2 linked regions of the Caenorhabditis elegans genome follow. The gene in region 2 interacts genetically with the main gene of each other region. Each region holds a gene or a part of one and is shown on either strand. Other genes may lie near its edges.

Evidence for each region.
Region 1: of attf-3 (region 2) and eor-1, changing one enhances a phenotype caused by changing the other (phenotypic enhancement), as found in Caenorhabditis elegans (one large-scale study listed by BioGRID).

Annotation. Positions count from the first base shown.
Region 1 is NC_003282.8:4,793,091-4,801,157, forward strand, and holds eor-1 (Zinc finger protein), read right to left. Parts: upstream 6,098-8,067; 5' UTR 6,087-6,097; coding exon 6,005-6,086; intron 5,944-6,004; coding exon 5,663-5,943; intron 5,608-5,662; coding exon 5,494-5,607; intron 5,436-5,493; coding exon 5,293-5,435; intron 5,248-5,292; coding exon 5,074-5,247; intron 5,019-5,073; coding exon 4,761-5,018; intron 4,713-4,760; coding exon 4,639-4,712; intron 4,537-4,638; coding exon 4,352-4,536; intron 3,578-4,351; coding exon 3,379-3,577; intron 3,323-3,378; exon of another isoform or gene 3,174-3,322; intron 2,923-3,173; coding exon 2,739-2,922; intron 2,530-2,738; coding exon 2,429-2,529; intron 1,778-2,428; coding exon 1,569-1,777; intron 1,519-1,568; coding exon 1,336-1,518; intron 907-1,335; coding exon 617-906; intron 555-616; coding exon 302-554; 3' UTR 104-301; downstream 1-103. Other genes in the region: dpf-7 (Dipeptidyl Peptidase Four (IV) family), read right to left, coding at 6,509-6,859, 7,146-7,262, 7,310-7,448, 7,653-8,014, 8,065-8,067.
Region 2 is NC_003281.10:83,321-88,112, forward strand, and holds the start of attf-3 (C2H2-type domain-containing protein), read right to left. Parts: upstream 3,065-4,792; 5' UTR 3,058-3,064; coding exon 2,887-3,057; intron 2,828-2,886; coding exon 2,707-2,827; intron 2,658-2,706; coding exon 2,449-2,657; intron 1,846-2,448; coding exon 1,652-1,845; intron 1,452-1,651; coding exon 1,335-1,451; intron 1,079-1,334; coding exon 886-1,078; intron 479-885; exon of another isoform or gene 421-478; intron 314-420; exon of another isoform or gene 261-313; intron 239-260; coding exon 110-238; intron 1-109. Other genes in the region: F54C4.4 (NAM-associated domain-containing protein), read right to left, coding at 3,460-3,576, 3,629-3,798, 3,867-3,939; mrpl-40 (Large ribosomal subunit protein mL40), read left to right, coding at 4,244-4,366, 4,445-4,575, 4,619-4,685, 4,728-4,792.

The sequences.
Region 1 (8,067 bases), on a different chromosome or scaffold from region 2:
GTTCAATTCCCGGTTCGGCCCAACCTTTGAATTTTTCTTGAAAATAAACTAAATGGCCGCTTTTATGTGGTCTGGAAGAAAAATAAAACAATGTTTCAGTTAAAAATGTCATCTATAATTTCATAAATTTATTTATAACCATAAAAACCATTTAGGACTAATTAGGCATTAAACAAGGAGATCATACACATATCAAAATGAAGGCATTAAGAACAATTTGAAACATGTTACAAGAAAAGGCAAAGATAGTAAAGGGGTTTTTTCAAAAGTGAGGTTTTAGGCAGTTTCAGGACTATATTTATTATTGTACATTCCACGGATTCCATGCATTATTGGAATTATCTTGATTATTCGGGGTTCCAGTCGGTGGAAGCCCGGCTGCTTGTAGTTGTTGTTGAAGTTGCTGGAGTTGAGCCGCCTGAGCCAAATCCATTTGTCCGTAGGTTGGAAGTGAGAATGGACGGAGTTGCTGTTGTTGCTGCTGTTGTTGTGGATCAGAGTTTGTGGAGAGATTGTTGAATTGCGGTTGGACAGCACTCCGGTTATGTGGAGATCTGGAAAATAATGTTTAGAATTAATGCGGCACTGCTTTTTGCAAAATTTACAGGTAACAAACCTCATCACCAAGTTAGGTGTCATCAAAACTCCATGTGTATTGTCTGATCCTTCAGGTCCACCACCACCACCACCTCCTTGACCACCTCCAACAGAATCTCCCGGTGAATCCTGTCGCTGCATCTGATGATGATTGTCCCGTAATGGAACATTCATCATAGACATACAGCCAGGTGATTGGGCATGATGTTGATGTTGAGATGGATGAACGACTGAGAAGGCACGCTGAGGAGATGAAGGGTTGCCGTAAGTTGATGGTCCACCGTAATCGTTGGGATTCGGAGAGTACGTCTGGAAATTGATAAATGAGAAATTTCTAGATTCTAAGTTTGTATAACCCCAAACGGCCGATTTTTCAAAAATCCCAAAAACCATCAATTTTTCCTTGTCGAAGCAGCTGAAATATAGTTTCTATTAAACTATAACCCGTTATTGCATATTTTCGGTACTAGATCTTGCTGAAATTCGCCGATTTAGGCACTTTTAAAGTCGATAGGCATCCAAAAATCATCAATATTGGCATAATATGACCAAAATTGGATGCTTATTGACTTTAATAGTGCCTAAATCGGCGAATTTAAGCAAGATCTAGTACCGAAAATATATGCAATAACGGGTTATAGTTTGAAAGAAACTATATTTCAGCTGCTTCGACAAGGAAAAATTGGCGAAATTTCAGAAATTCTGTCGCTTGGCTCTTCGTTAATTCAATAAACCTACCGAAAAGTCATTAGTAGCCTGCCAATTGCTAACAGCATCATCAGAAGTAATTGGACGGAACAGAGCATCCGGATTATTCACAATATTGCTCGCGGCAGCCAACATTCTCTGTCTCTTATACTTTCTTCGTTGAGTCTTTTGGAATGTGAGCACTTCCGAATTGTGATGCTTGATGATGTGCTCCTAAAAATTATGAAAATTATCAAAAATTATCATCTAAAATGCTCAAAAACCTTAAGCTTATCACGCCGACTAGATGCATATTCACACTGATCACACTTGAACGGCTTCTCCTCCAAATGAATCCTCTCGTGACGGACCAGATGTGATTTTTCGATGAATCCACGGCCACAGATCTTGCAGAGATGGGCGCGAACCGCCATGTGGGTACGGAGATGGGCCGCCAGTTGGCTTTTTTTGGTCGACGAGTAGTCGCAACCGGCTGAAAATTAACAGTAATGTTTTCAGGATCTTTAAATATGTCATTTTATAGTGTAGTTTTCAGGATCTTTAAATATGTCATTTTATAGGAAAAATAACAAAAAATTGCTCAGATCAACTCCATAGCTGTTTAAACAATACTCCATGTTTAAAAACTCGAAAAAATTACGCACAGCGTGAAGCGAGCTGGGAAAGGCCCTGCATTGGAGAAGAAGAAGCTCTGAGAAAAGTTCTCTGCAAAAGCGCAAAAACTAATGAAACACGTCGAAATGATTTTATGTCGAGCGCGACGATAAAACCATTACCAAATACCTACAGTACCCCAGTGTGTGTTCGGCAGAAAAAAAAAGTGAAAGTGATATGATCCACAGATGATCTAACCACTGTTTCTATCTTCAGCCGCCGTTTTCTTTCGTTTTTTCGACCATTTTTTGTGCGGAAAAGGCGGCGCTGTGTCGCCAAGGAGAAACGAAAATTAATGGAATAGTACGGGTGATAAGGAGACGCAGCGAGGGGGGTTTTTGGTTGGAAAAAAGTAGAAGTGAACTGCGCAAAAGTCATCCAAATGATGGATCGGTTGGCAGGTGATAACGGAACTATTCTGGCATTCAGTGTATTCCAATGCGTGGTGTTACAGGAAATACAAACTGACCAATGTGACAGCTAAAATTGTCTCCAGTATGTTGACGACGATGAAGGGAAAGATGATCGGCGGTTTTGGTGGCGAAACCGCAATCCTCACAGATATAAGGCCTGAAATTTGGAAGAATTTGATGGAAATTGTGAAAATTCTGAATTTGAATAAAAGTCGCCTTGTTTGGTTTTGAGACAATTATTATTATTGCCTCCAAACGTTACTAGCAAAATTGGAATTGCCTCAAAATCAGATCTTGCATGGTTTTTTATTTCAAATTCGCACATTATTAACTTTCAGATCTCGAAATTTCATAGTAAAAACTTACCTAGGATCATTATGACTAGCAACATGATGATCCAATGTACTATGCTGTTGGAATCCTCTTCCACACTCTTCACAGTGTAATGATCGATCATCGAGTACAGAATGCATTCGTTCGTGAGCAAACAGTTGAGAACGAGTTCGACCTTTCCATGCACATTCACCGCATTTGAAGAAACGCTCGTCGGCTGAAAATTTGACAATTTTAGAGGGTTTTTTTGTTTCTTTTAGAAAGTAATTTTGGAAAACAATTTTATTCAGCCGTTTTTTTTCGGTTTTAATGTGTTTCCTTCGGCAAAGTCAACGTGTGTCTGATGGTAAATTTAAAAAAAAAACAGAAAATTGAAAGCTTAGCTATTCATTCGATTTTTTGGAGATTAATTAAAAATTTAAATTGATATTGTTGGTAAATTCTGAAAATATGAAAAAAACATTATCGATCAATTTTTTTACAAAAATTAATTTTCATAATTTGGTTTTTTAAATGAAAATAGGTTTATATTTCAAGAAACATTGTGAATTTCAGAAAAAGAAACGATTTATCTGAAAATACATTTAATTTTTTTGTAGTTTCAAAAAAAAAGAGTTTTTTTTTCAAAATTAAAAAATGTACGTTTTTTTCCAAAATTTTTGTAAAAACTCACTATGCTGAAGCCTATGGGTCAAAAACTCTTGTATCTCATTTGAAGTGAACGGACACGTTTCACATCGATACGGTATCTCTGTCCAGTGCTCAGCACAATGAAGATAGAATTGTTTGCTCCAATTGGTTTCAAATTCACATAAATGACACATATAATACGTATTGCGATTGTGATGACGAGCTTTGTGCTTTTCGAGAAGCTGAAAATATGAGGAAATTGTTGAAGAATCGATCGAAATATTTTACAACACTTTTCTGGTTTTTTTTTTTTTTTGGTTTTTTGGAACATAAAACTCATAAAACCAGCAGAAGATCGTTCGTACACGAGTTTGTTTTTACATTTTCCCAAAATATGGAACTTTACATCAAAATATTTTTAAAAAAATAAATTATGCATGAAAGTTTCCAAATTGTGCTGTAATTCTTTAAAAAAATATTTTTAAAGATATATATTATATAGACACAAAAATTTGCAATTTTCGAGCCTGGTCTCGACACGACAAATTTTCGTTAGAACCGAAAACAATTATGCGCCTTTAAAGATTACTGTACGGTGTTTTTGTTGATTTTTCATAGTTTTTTTTTCTAAAATTTAAGCTTTTTAAAAACTATTTAAATTTCGGAATATTTGGTTGATAAATAAATATATTTTATCGAAAAACTAAAAATAATCGATAAAAACTCCTCAGATTGAAAATACAGTAATCTTTAAAGGCGTAAATTTTCTTGATGTAGCCAAAAATCGTCGTGTCGAGTTTTGTATATTAAATAAACGCCAAAATATGAAATTTTCGCCAAAATCTGGTCAGGTCTCACCACACCGACAACAGGTTACTGTAGCCCATTGTTCGGTGTGTCGAGACCTTTTTGACGTCTAAAAATAGAATAAATCATATTGACGGTTTAAATTTGAGAAAAATAATATTTTTTTCGCATTTTTTCAAGGTTTTAATTGATTTATTTTTTGTCAATACCTCCTCATTTGCAGTCCGCAGTCCACAGAAAATACAAGTGGACGGTCCATTCTCATCAGGTTGATCTTCTTCATCTTCACAATCATCTGGATCCAAATTGTCAACTGGTCCATAGGTATGACATCCTTCCAATGAACATGTAGCATATACACCATCAATTTCGTCTTCGTCGATCCATGGAATACCTGGAAATTTTATTGATAAGGAATTTGACAGAAGATTTCTTCAATTTTTGATTTTACAATTTCACAAAATCCCTTTTTTTTTGAGAAAAAAAACCAGCTCACTTTCATTTTCCGTCGCATTAATCGGTGGAATTGGGTGCAAATGATGTTTTTTCATTCCTTTTGGTCGTTTTAATCTAAAATTTTCCATTGAATTTTATCAATTTTTTCATATAATCACTAACCGCTTCTTCTCATTTCCCGGCTGGAATGCAATCTTCATTTTCAGTCGATTATTAACATCATTTCCGTATTCAACAACTTGTGCAGATGTTGGATGTCCATCAGCTATATAATCATCTGGATCCTCTTCAGAATCACTTGAATCATAAATATCATCTTCAAATTGAGATGGATCGTGGAGAATCGGAAGATCAACGATTTTCTGACGAAGACTGCTCAGTTGAGTCGAGTACTTTTCCATAAGCATGTTATTTGTTTCCCTACAAAAATTATTTCATCAGTAATAATTTTGTAAACTTTAACAACTCCACTTACATGACATGTAGTAGCAAAAATCGACTTTTCTGACTTTTCGATAGCAACGGCGAGTAATCCAGAAGAAATTCCAGTGTGTCAGCTGAAACTTCTCGAAATTCGCAGGATTCTAGTAGTAATCGGAAGATTTCCTCTCGCTTCGATACTTCTTCACCGACCCAGCGGACTATTAATCTGAAAAAATTACTGTTTTAGTCATTTTGGAACGAAAAAACTCACTTTAAATAAGTGTCAGAAGTAATACAATCCACGTATTTCGGATCTCCAATGAGTCTTGTCAGTTGTGTATACGTGTAACCAATTATATCTCTGGATTCCAGTAAACATCGATTAAGATTGCTGTCAAAGTAGTCTGTAGCAGACTGAAAAAAGAAATTCGAAGTTTCTCGCTTTTAAAGCTTTAAAAATTCAAATTCTTACTTTCACAAGTCCTGGTAGATTATATCTCTGAGCTAACGTTCGTATTGATAAGCAATTGGCCGCGTCTAGATATCGATCCAAATAAGCTGCACAATACACTTTTAGCTTCACTATCTGAAAAAAACGGAATTATAGCAGGAATAGTCGATCGAAAAATCAATAATATTACCAGAAAATTATTTGCAAATCTCAATAGCTCCGAAACACTTGATCGATCGATAATCACTGTTCCACTGTACATATAATTGAGGAATAACTCGAAAACTTGTGGAGATTTGCTATTTATTGTGAGCTGTTCCTTTGTGATTTTGCAATATTTGAAAATTGCGTCAAAATATGGACTGTGAGCTGCTAAAATGTTTCGATGAGCCGCAAATGATTTGTTTTGAACAACAATTTCCACATCACAAAATCGGCCGGTTTTTCGTTGATATTGTAATCGTTGGAACACTGAAAAATAAAAGTTAATTTAATTATCAAGCCAAGATTGAATTAAATACAAAACTCTTACACATATGACTGGTTTGCCCAGAACTATCATCAAATGTCATTGGACAGAGCCCTGTGTTTTCGGAACTAGCTACTAATGTCATCTGAAATTAAATTGAAATAATTTTCATTGCGATTTTATAATTTATTCGATGGGAAACTCACATTTTATCGAGGAAGACGTCAATAAACTTAGAATAAATGCTCCGATTCAAATCGGGTGAGGAGTGTGCAGACGCGCTCTACTGAACAATCTAAAAGATTATCGATTTGCAAATATTATTTCAATGGATTTTTAACGATAGTTATATATTTAACGAAATTCAAATTTTATTCGAGATTTCAAAAAAAGAAAATATATATCTGAGCATAACGACACATAAAAAATTTAAAACTGAGCGAAATTCCAATTTGTAACATATTTTAACAACGAATTAAAGCTGATGTAGACATTGTTCTAATCGGCGTTTTTTTAATGAATTAACAATATAAGTTAGTAATAATTCAAGAAAGAAAAAATAAATAATTAATCATCAGGAACCGGCGTTTCAATTCTAGAACCATTCTCGTATTCTCCATATGGTGTTCTATAAAATTGAATGACTTTCACAACGAAATCATTCACTTGTTCGTCTTCTTCTTCGTATTCTCCAAAACACGGAACGCCATTATTGTGAATTGTAGACTCAAAATCTTTGTACTTTGTATCGCTTTTATTCTCCAGAACAATCAACATCGGAGTAACAATTTCAGACGCATGTGAGACCGGCTCCACGTCTTTCAGAAATTCAGCTTCAGGGTTTTCTGTATCAACTGCACACGTTGTGAATGGAAATTCGAGCATCGGCCGTACGAGTGCACATCCTTTATAGAATTTCTGAAAATAGTGAATTAAAAAATATGAAAATCCATGAGACGCTAAATTTTGTGATTTTCGTGCCAAAAATAGAAAAATATCGGGGTAACGACACGACATTTTTTGAAAGTTAAAGGTGGAGTACCGAAATCAGAGACTTTGTTTTTTTTTAACTATAATGTCGCAAAACTGACGGATCTATCAATAAAACTTTCAAAATATTTCTGAAGAAAACATGTCGTGTCGAAACCGGGTATTGTATTTTTCACCAAAAATCGCAGAATCTCGCGTCGATGTAATATCCCACCTTATGTTTGATAATCAGACTACACGCCACAAAAGATCCAAATTCAAATCCATACAAGTAAATATATTTTTCATCTAACCGCGCTCCGTGTCTCTCGAGAACTTCTAGTACAGTTTCCTGTAAAAAAAATCATAAAATGAGGAAAAAAACGAACGATTCTCTACATGAACATCATTAATACATTCCGAACCACAATTCTTTGGAAAGCAGGTTCCTGGAATTGCTATAAATGGCTCCCGATAGTTTACAACTAGCACACAGAAGCCACAAGTTACCATTGTAGAGAGCACAGGGTCAACGGTACTGAAAATTTAAATTTAATTTTAAATTTATAAATCAATTCTTTATAAACAGGGAAAATTGCTATTTGAACATTTTTAAATTAAAAAAATAAAGATAGAAAATTGCGGTTGAAATTGAAAGCTCGATCCGTGAATTTTGCAATTCTTTCGATGCTTTTTTTGTTGATTTTTCAATAAATTTTGAGTCTAAAGAAAAAAAATCTACCTAACGGTGAAATTAGGTTCTAATCCGGAAAAGGGGACCACGACCAGCGGGAACTTCGATCCGGGAGAAACACATTCCGGCAACATGTAGAGTATCGCAGAATTGCCAATTTTTTGAAAACTCATTGGATAAATGTGAAAATTGTGAATCGTATCGTTTTCTGGCTTGTGTGTGCATAACAGCGATGCCGTGAATTTACCATCACTTTGTGAGCCCAATTGAGAATGCCAAAGACGAGAATAAGCGTTTGCTGTGATCGTTTCAAAAAGGAATTCATCGCCTCGAACATCAATAATTAGTGAAGGCCGTTTCAAGTCAAGGCACGTGGTTCTTAAACTTTCAACGTGAATCGCCAAATTATTCTGGAAATAAATTTATTTTAATGCAGAATTAAATCGAATATATTTGTTACCAC
Region 2 (4,792 bases):
TAGGTGGAAAACTGAGAAAAATCTGAATTTTTTGGGGAAAAAATCGCAAAAATCGCCGATTTTCAACCTAAAAACCTCGAATTTTCACATTTTTTGCCTAAAAACTCACCGAAAAATGGTGTTTATTGTCGAAACTTTGAGAAATCATAAGTGCCAAGCCGCCGTGAGTTATTGTGTGATCAGCCAGCTGAGCGTACGTGTGGAAGGAGCTTTTGCAGTAGAAACACGACAAAACCGTCTGAAAAATTGGAATTTTGGACCATTTTAAGCCAATTTTGGACCATTTTAAGCCAATTTTGGACCATTTTAAGCCAATTTTGGACCATTTTAAGCCAATTTTGGACCATTTTAAGCCAATTTTGGACCATTTTAAGCCAATTTTGGACCATTTTAAGCCAATTTTGGACCATTTTAAGCCAATTTTGGACCATTTTAAGCCAATTTTGGACCATTTTAAGCCAATTTTGGGCCATTTTAAGCCAATTTAGGACCATTTTAAGACAATTTAGGACCATTTTAAGACAATTTAGGACCATTTTAAGACAATTTAGATCATTTTAAGTCAATTTAGATCATTTTAAGTCAATTTAGATCATTTTAAGTCAATTTAGATCATTTTAAGTCAATTTAGATCATTTTAAGTCAATTTAGGACCATTTTAAGCCAATTTTGGATCATTTTAAGGCTATTTAGATCATTTTAAGGCTATTTAGATCATTTTAAGCCAATTTTGAACCATTTTAAGCCAATTTTGAACCATTTTAAGCCAATTTTGAACCATTTTAAGCCAATTTTATTATTTTTCACGAATTTCAGTCGAATTTTCACGATTTTTTGCAATTTTTCAGCATTTTCATTCAAATTTCAGCCCGAAAAAGCCCGTACCATGACTCGATTATCATCGGGCCGCCACTCGGGATGAGCTTTTCGTAAATGTGTGCTTCTGGTCGACCGGGACCATCCCCGCCACTGACAAAGTGGAAAATGACAGTTGTATGTGCCATTTGAGTTGTATCCTGGAGCATTTCTCTTACGTTCAGCGTGCTCATTCGGGTGCACTTTTCGCATGTGTGAAGATCTGGAAATTTGGCGGTTTTTGGCTGAAAATTCAAGTTTTTCAGTAAAAATTCAGCTGGAACCATCTCAAAAACCATTTTTTTCACCTAAAAATGATGAAAATCATCTTTTTTACACTAGAAAATAGTGGAAAAAAACGAAAAATTCAATGCCGACCAATCAGCGATGTGCAGGGGGCGTGGCCAACGTCGCTGATTGGTCGGAACGTTTTTGGCTCATTTTCAGCCAATTTTCGGGAATTTTGGTCCATTTTTCACCTTGAAGCCCGGAAATTTCCTCTCCAATTGCATCCTTTCACCTGACAAGCGTATTGAGGCACATGCTCTTCCGGATTTACGTATTTTCCGTCTTTCGAGATTCTTTCCAGCAGGAATCTGTAAAAAATCGAGTTTTAAAGTGAAAATTCGCAAAAAATTCGAAATTTTCGATTTTTTGACGGGACATTTGGTTAAAATTGCCATTTTCCTTCAATTTTCGACTAAAAATAGCAATTTTAGGTCATTTTTCACGATTTTAAGGTCGAATTTTGCCGAAAATCACGATTTTTCTAGTTAATCATAGATTTTTCCAGCACCTTGAAGGCATTTTCCATTCGGGGTGAATCGCTTTCATATGATCCATACGAAGTGATCGATAGCCGCCTTTCCACAGACAATCCGGCATATAGCACTTATATTTTCCGTTGGCATCTCCAATGGTAAGTCTGTCCGGTAGACGATCGTTCGGGTACCGGCGGAATGCAGTTCGAGTCCGGTTTTGAACAAATTTCTGGAAAAACTGAAGGAATTAGCAGGTTTTTGAGGTGAAATTTGAGTTTTTCGCGGTTTTTTACGTATTTTTCGGGCTTTTCTGGGTTAAAATGTAATTACATAATTATTTAAATATTTTTAACAGATCATTTTTGGGTCTGCTAAATAATTAGCAGACCATTTTTGGGTCTGCTAAATAATTAGCAGACCATTTTTGGGTATGCTAAATAATTAGCAGACCATTTTTGGGTATGCTAAATAATTAGCAGACCATTTTTGGGTTTGCAAAATATTTAACAGACCAAAGTTGGGTATGCTAAATAATTAGCAGACCAAAGTTGGGTATGCTAAATAATTAGCAGACCATTTTTGGGTATGCTAAATAATTAGCAGACCAAAGTTGGGTATGCTAAATAATTAGCAGACCAAAGTTGGGTATGCTAAATAATTAGCAGACCAAAGTTGGGTCTGCTAAATAATTAGCAGTCCAAAGTTGGGTCTGCTAAATATTTAGCAGACCATTTTTGGGTATGCTAAATATATATTCTCGTCCATTTTCATCAGTTTTGGCTCAATTTTCACGAAAATTTTTCTCGAAATTTACAAATTTTCCTCGATTTACCGAATCCAACATAGGACTATCGTCATTTTCCTCGTCTTCCTCATGATCAATAACCACTTCTTGGCCGACAATCATGGAATTTCCGTCTAAATTCATGTCCGAGCCGCCCATCAGCTGATAATTGGCTCCACGGCGAACATAATCCCCAAGGGAAGTCTCTTCGTCAATAATTCCGAGTCCGTGAAGGCGAGAAGCTTCTTTATCGGTTCCTGGAAGCAAAAAATCGTTTTTTCACAGATTTTTTAAAAGATTTATTACTTATTGCCGAATCATCCACACATTCCACTATCGTTTTCGGACGTTTTCGACCGCCGAGAAGCTGTTTTGTGGTGACTCGTTGCAGTGGAACCGGAGAATCTTCGTATTTTTTCGGTCGGCCCTGGAAAAAATTAAATTTTTTTTCGTTTTTCAATCAGAATCTTGAAATATCCGCCTTACCCTTGGTTTTTTATCATCTTCCTGACCTTCTGGCCGTGGATGTCTGTGTCTTTTGTGTGCACTGAGACTTCGATCGGATTTCCCGACGTATTCGCATAAATTGCACTGAAAATCGATATTTGTCGGCACATTCACCACGTCCACATCGTCCTGCTCATCGTTTTTCATCATTTTTTAGCTGAAAAATAACATTTTTCAATTTATTTCGTTAATTTCTTTGCATTTTTCCATTTAAATTCGAAAGCGAAGACGAGAGAGCATGCAAAAACGAGAGAGCGGGAGAGAAAAAGAAAAGGATAAACAATGTTTTCGGCGGCATTCGGAGCGTCGTCAGACGCGCGCTGCGAGACCCAACAGACGGGAAATGTCATGCGCCTTTGATTTTACAATTTATTTCGGCTATTTATTGCGGTTTTTTTGCAGTTTTTCGCTCAATTTTCTTCTAAAATTTGAATAATACATGATAAAAAAAAAATACATAATTTATTTCGACAGCGATTGATACATAATTTCACAAATTTACATGGATTTTTGCCACAAAATTAAAAAAAAAATAAAATAAAGAAAGCACATTTAAAGTTTATTCATTTGCTTCTCCAAATGTTCCATATCCCGCGCATCGGCTGACTTTGTGATTCTATCGAAAATAAGCTTCTGCGTCTCCTCTAACATCTTGAGTTGCTCTTTATTCTGTAAAAAATCGGCTTTTAGGTTGGAAATTTTATTTTTCTAAAAAACGTACGCTTTTCATACTGGTAGCTTGAGATAATCGGCTCTTCATGCTGCTCAGAAACTCGTCAAAGTCCGATTTGGCGGGTTTCTTGTGAATTCCAGAGTTTTTGACTTTTGGAATGGCGTTTTTCGGTTTTTTCGACGCTTTTTCGGTTTTCGATGCACTACAGTTGCTATTTGCTGAAAAAAAATTCGATTTTATTTGAAAAAAAACCTGAATTTTAATAAAAATTTGATAAAAAACTCACAATTGGCAGAAATCCCTGAAGAACTCTGCTCAGCAGCCATCATGGTCTCCTCGTCTTCGAAAATGGTTTCCATAGTGTTTTAGCTGCCAAATCCTTATTAAAACTCAAAAATTGTCAATAAAAACGCGGAAAATTGTCCGAAAATCGATTAGGGACGACGAGAGAGTGTGGGGAAGTGAGAGACGGAGCTTGTGTAGATTTACGGTGAACAACGCGTGGGGGTGGGATAGCGGAGTGTCGTTTGGGAATTTATTTTATTAAATTTTTATTGTTTTTGTTGATTTTTAGGAGGTTTCCTTGGTTTTTTCGACTATTTTCTTCAGAATTTTGATGATTTTGATGTAAAATCACTTCAAATTCCAATTTTTCCAGGTAAAATGAGCTCCAGCCTGCTTGCGAGCCTCTCCCGGCTCTCCCTACTTCAAACCCGCCAAATTCATCAAACAATTCCCGCCGGCTCCTCGGTTTTTATGAAAAGACAGAAGAAAATTGATCCGGAGGTAGAGAAAATTACAGTTACTCATTGAATAAAACGGGAAATTTAATAAAAATTGAGAAAAAATTCAAAAATTTTCCAGGTAGCAAAGCAGCGAGAGACCCGACGCAGAAAACGGCTGGAAAAGGATATTCGTCAGATGCAAAAGCACTCGAAAAAGCCGAAACCAGTGGATGAGCTCACTTTGGACGTGAAATCCGCGAAAAATATCGGGTTTTTCAGCGATTTTCTGCCTAAAAACTCGGAATTCTTACAGAGAACGCCGCCGCCCACGCACCGAGCTCACCTTGGAGCAAATTGACGAACGAGCCATCGCTCTGAAGGTAAAAATCTGAGAATTTCGCTTCAAATCCGTGGATTTTCAGGATTATACACGCTCCCGGTTGGCTTTGCAGCAGGAGGATGACGCGTGGATTCGTGGAGCCATCGA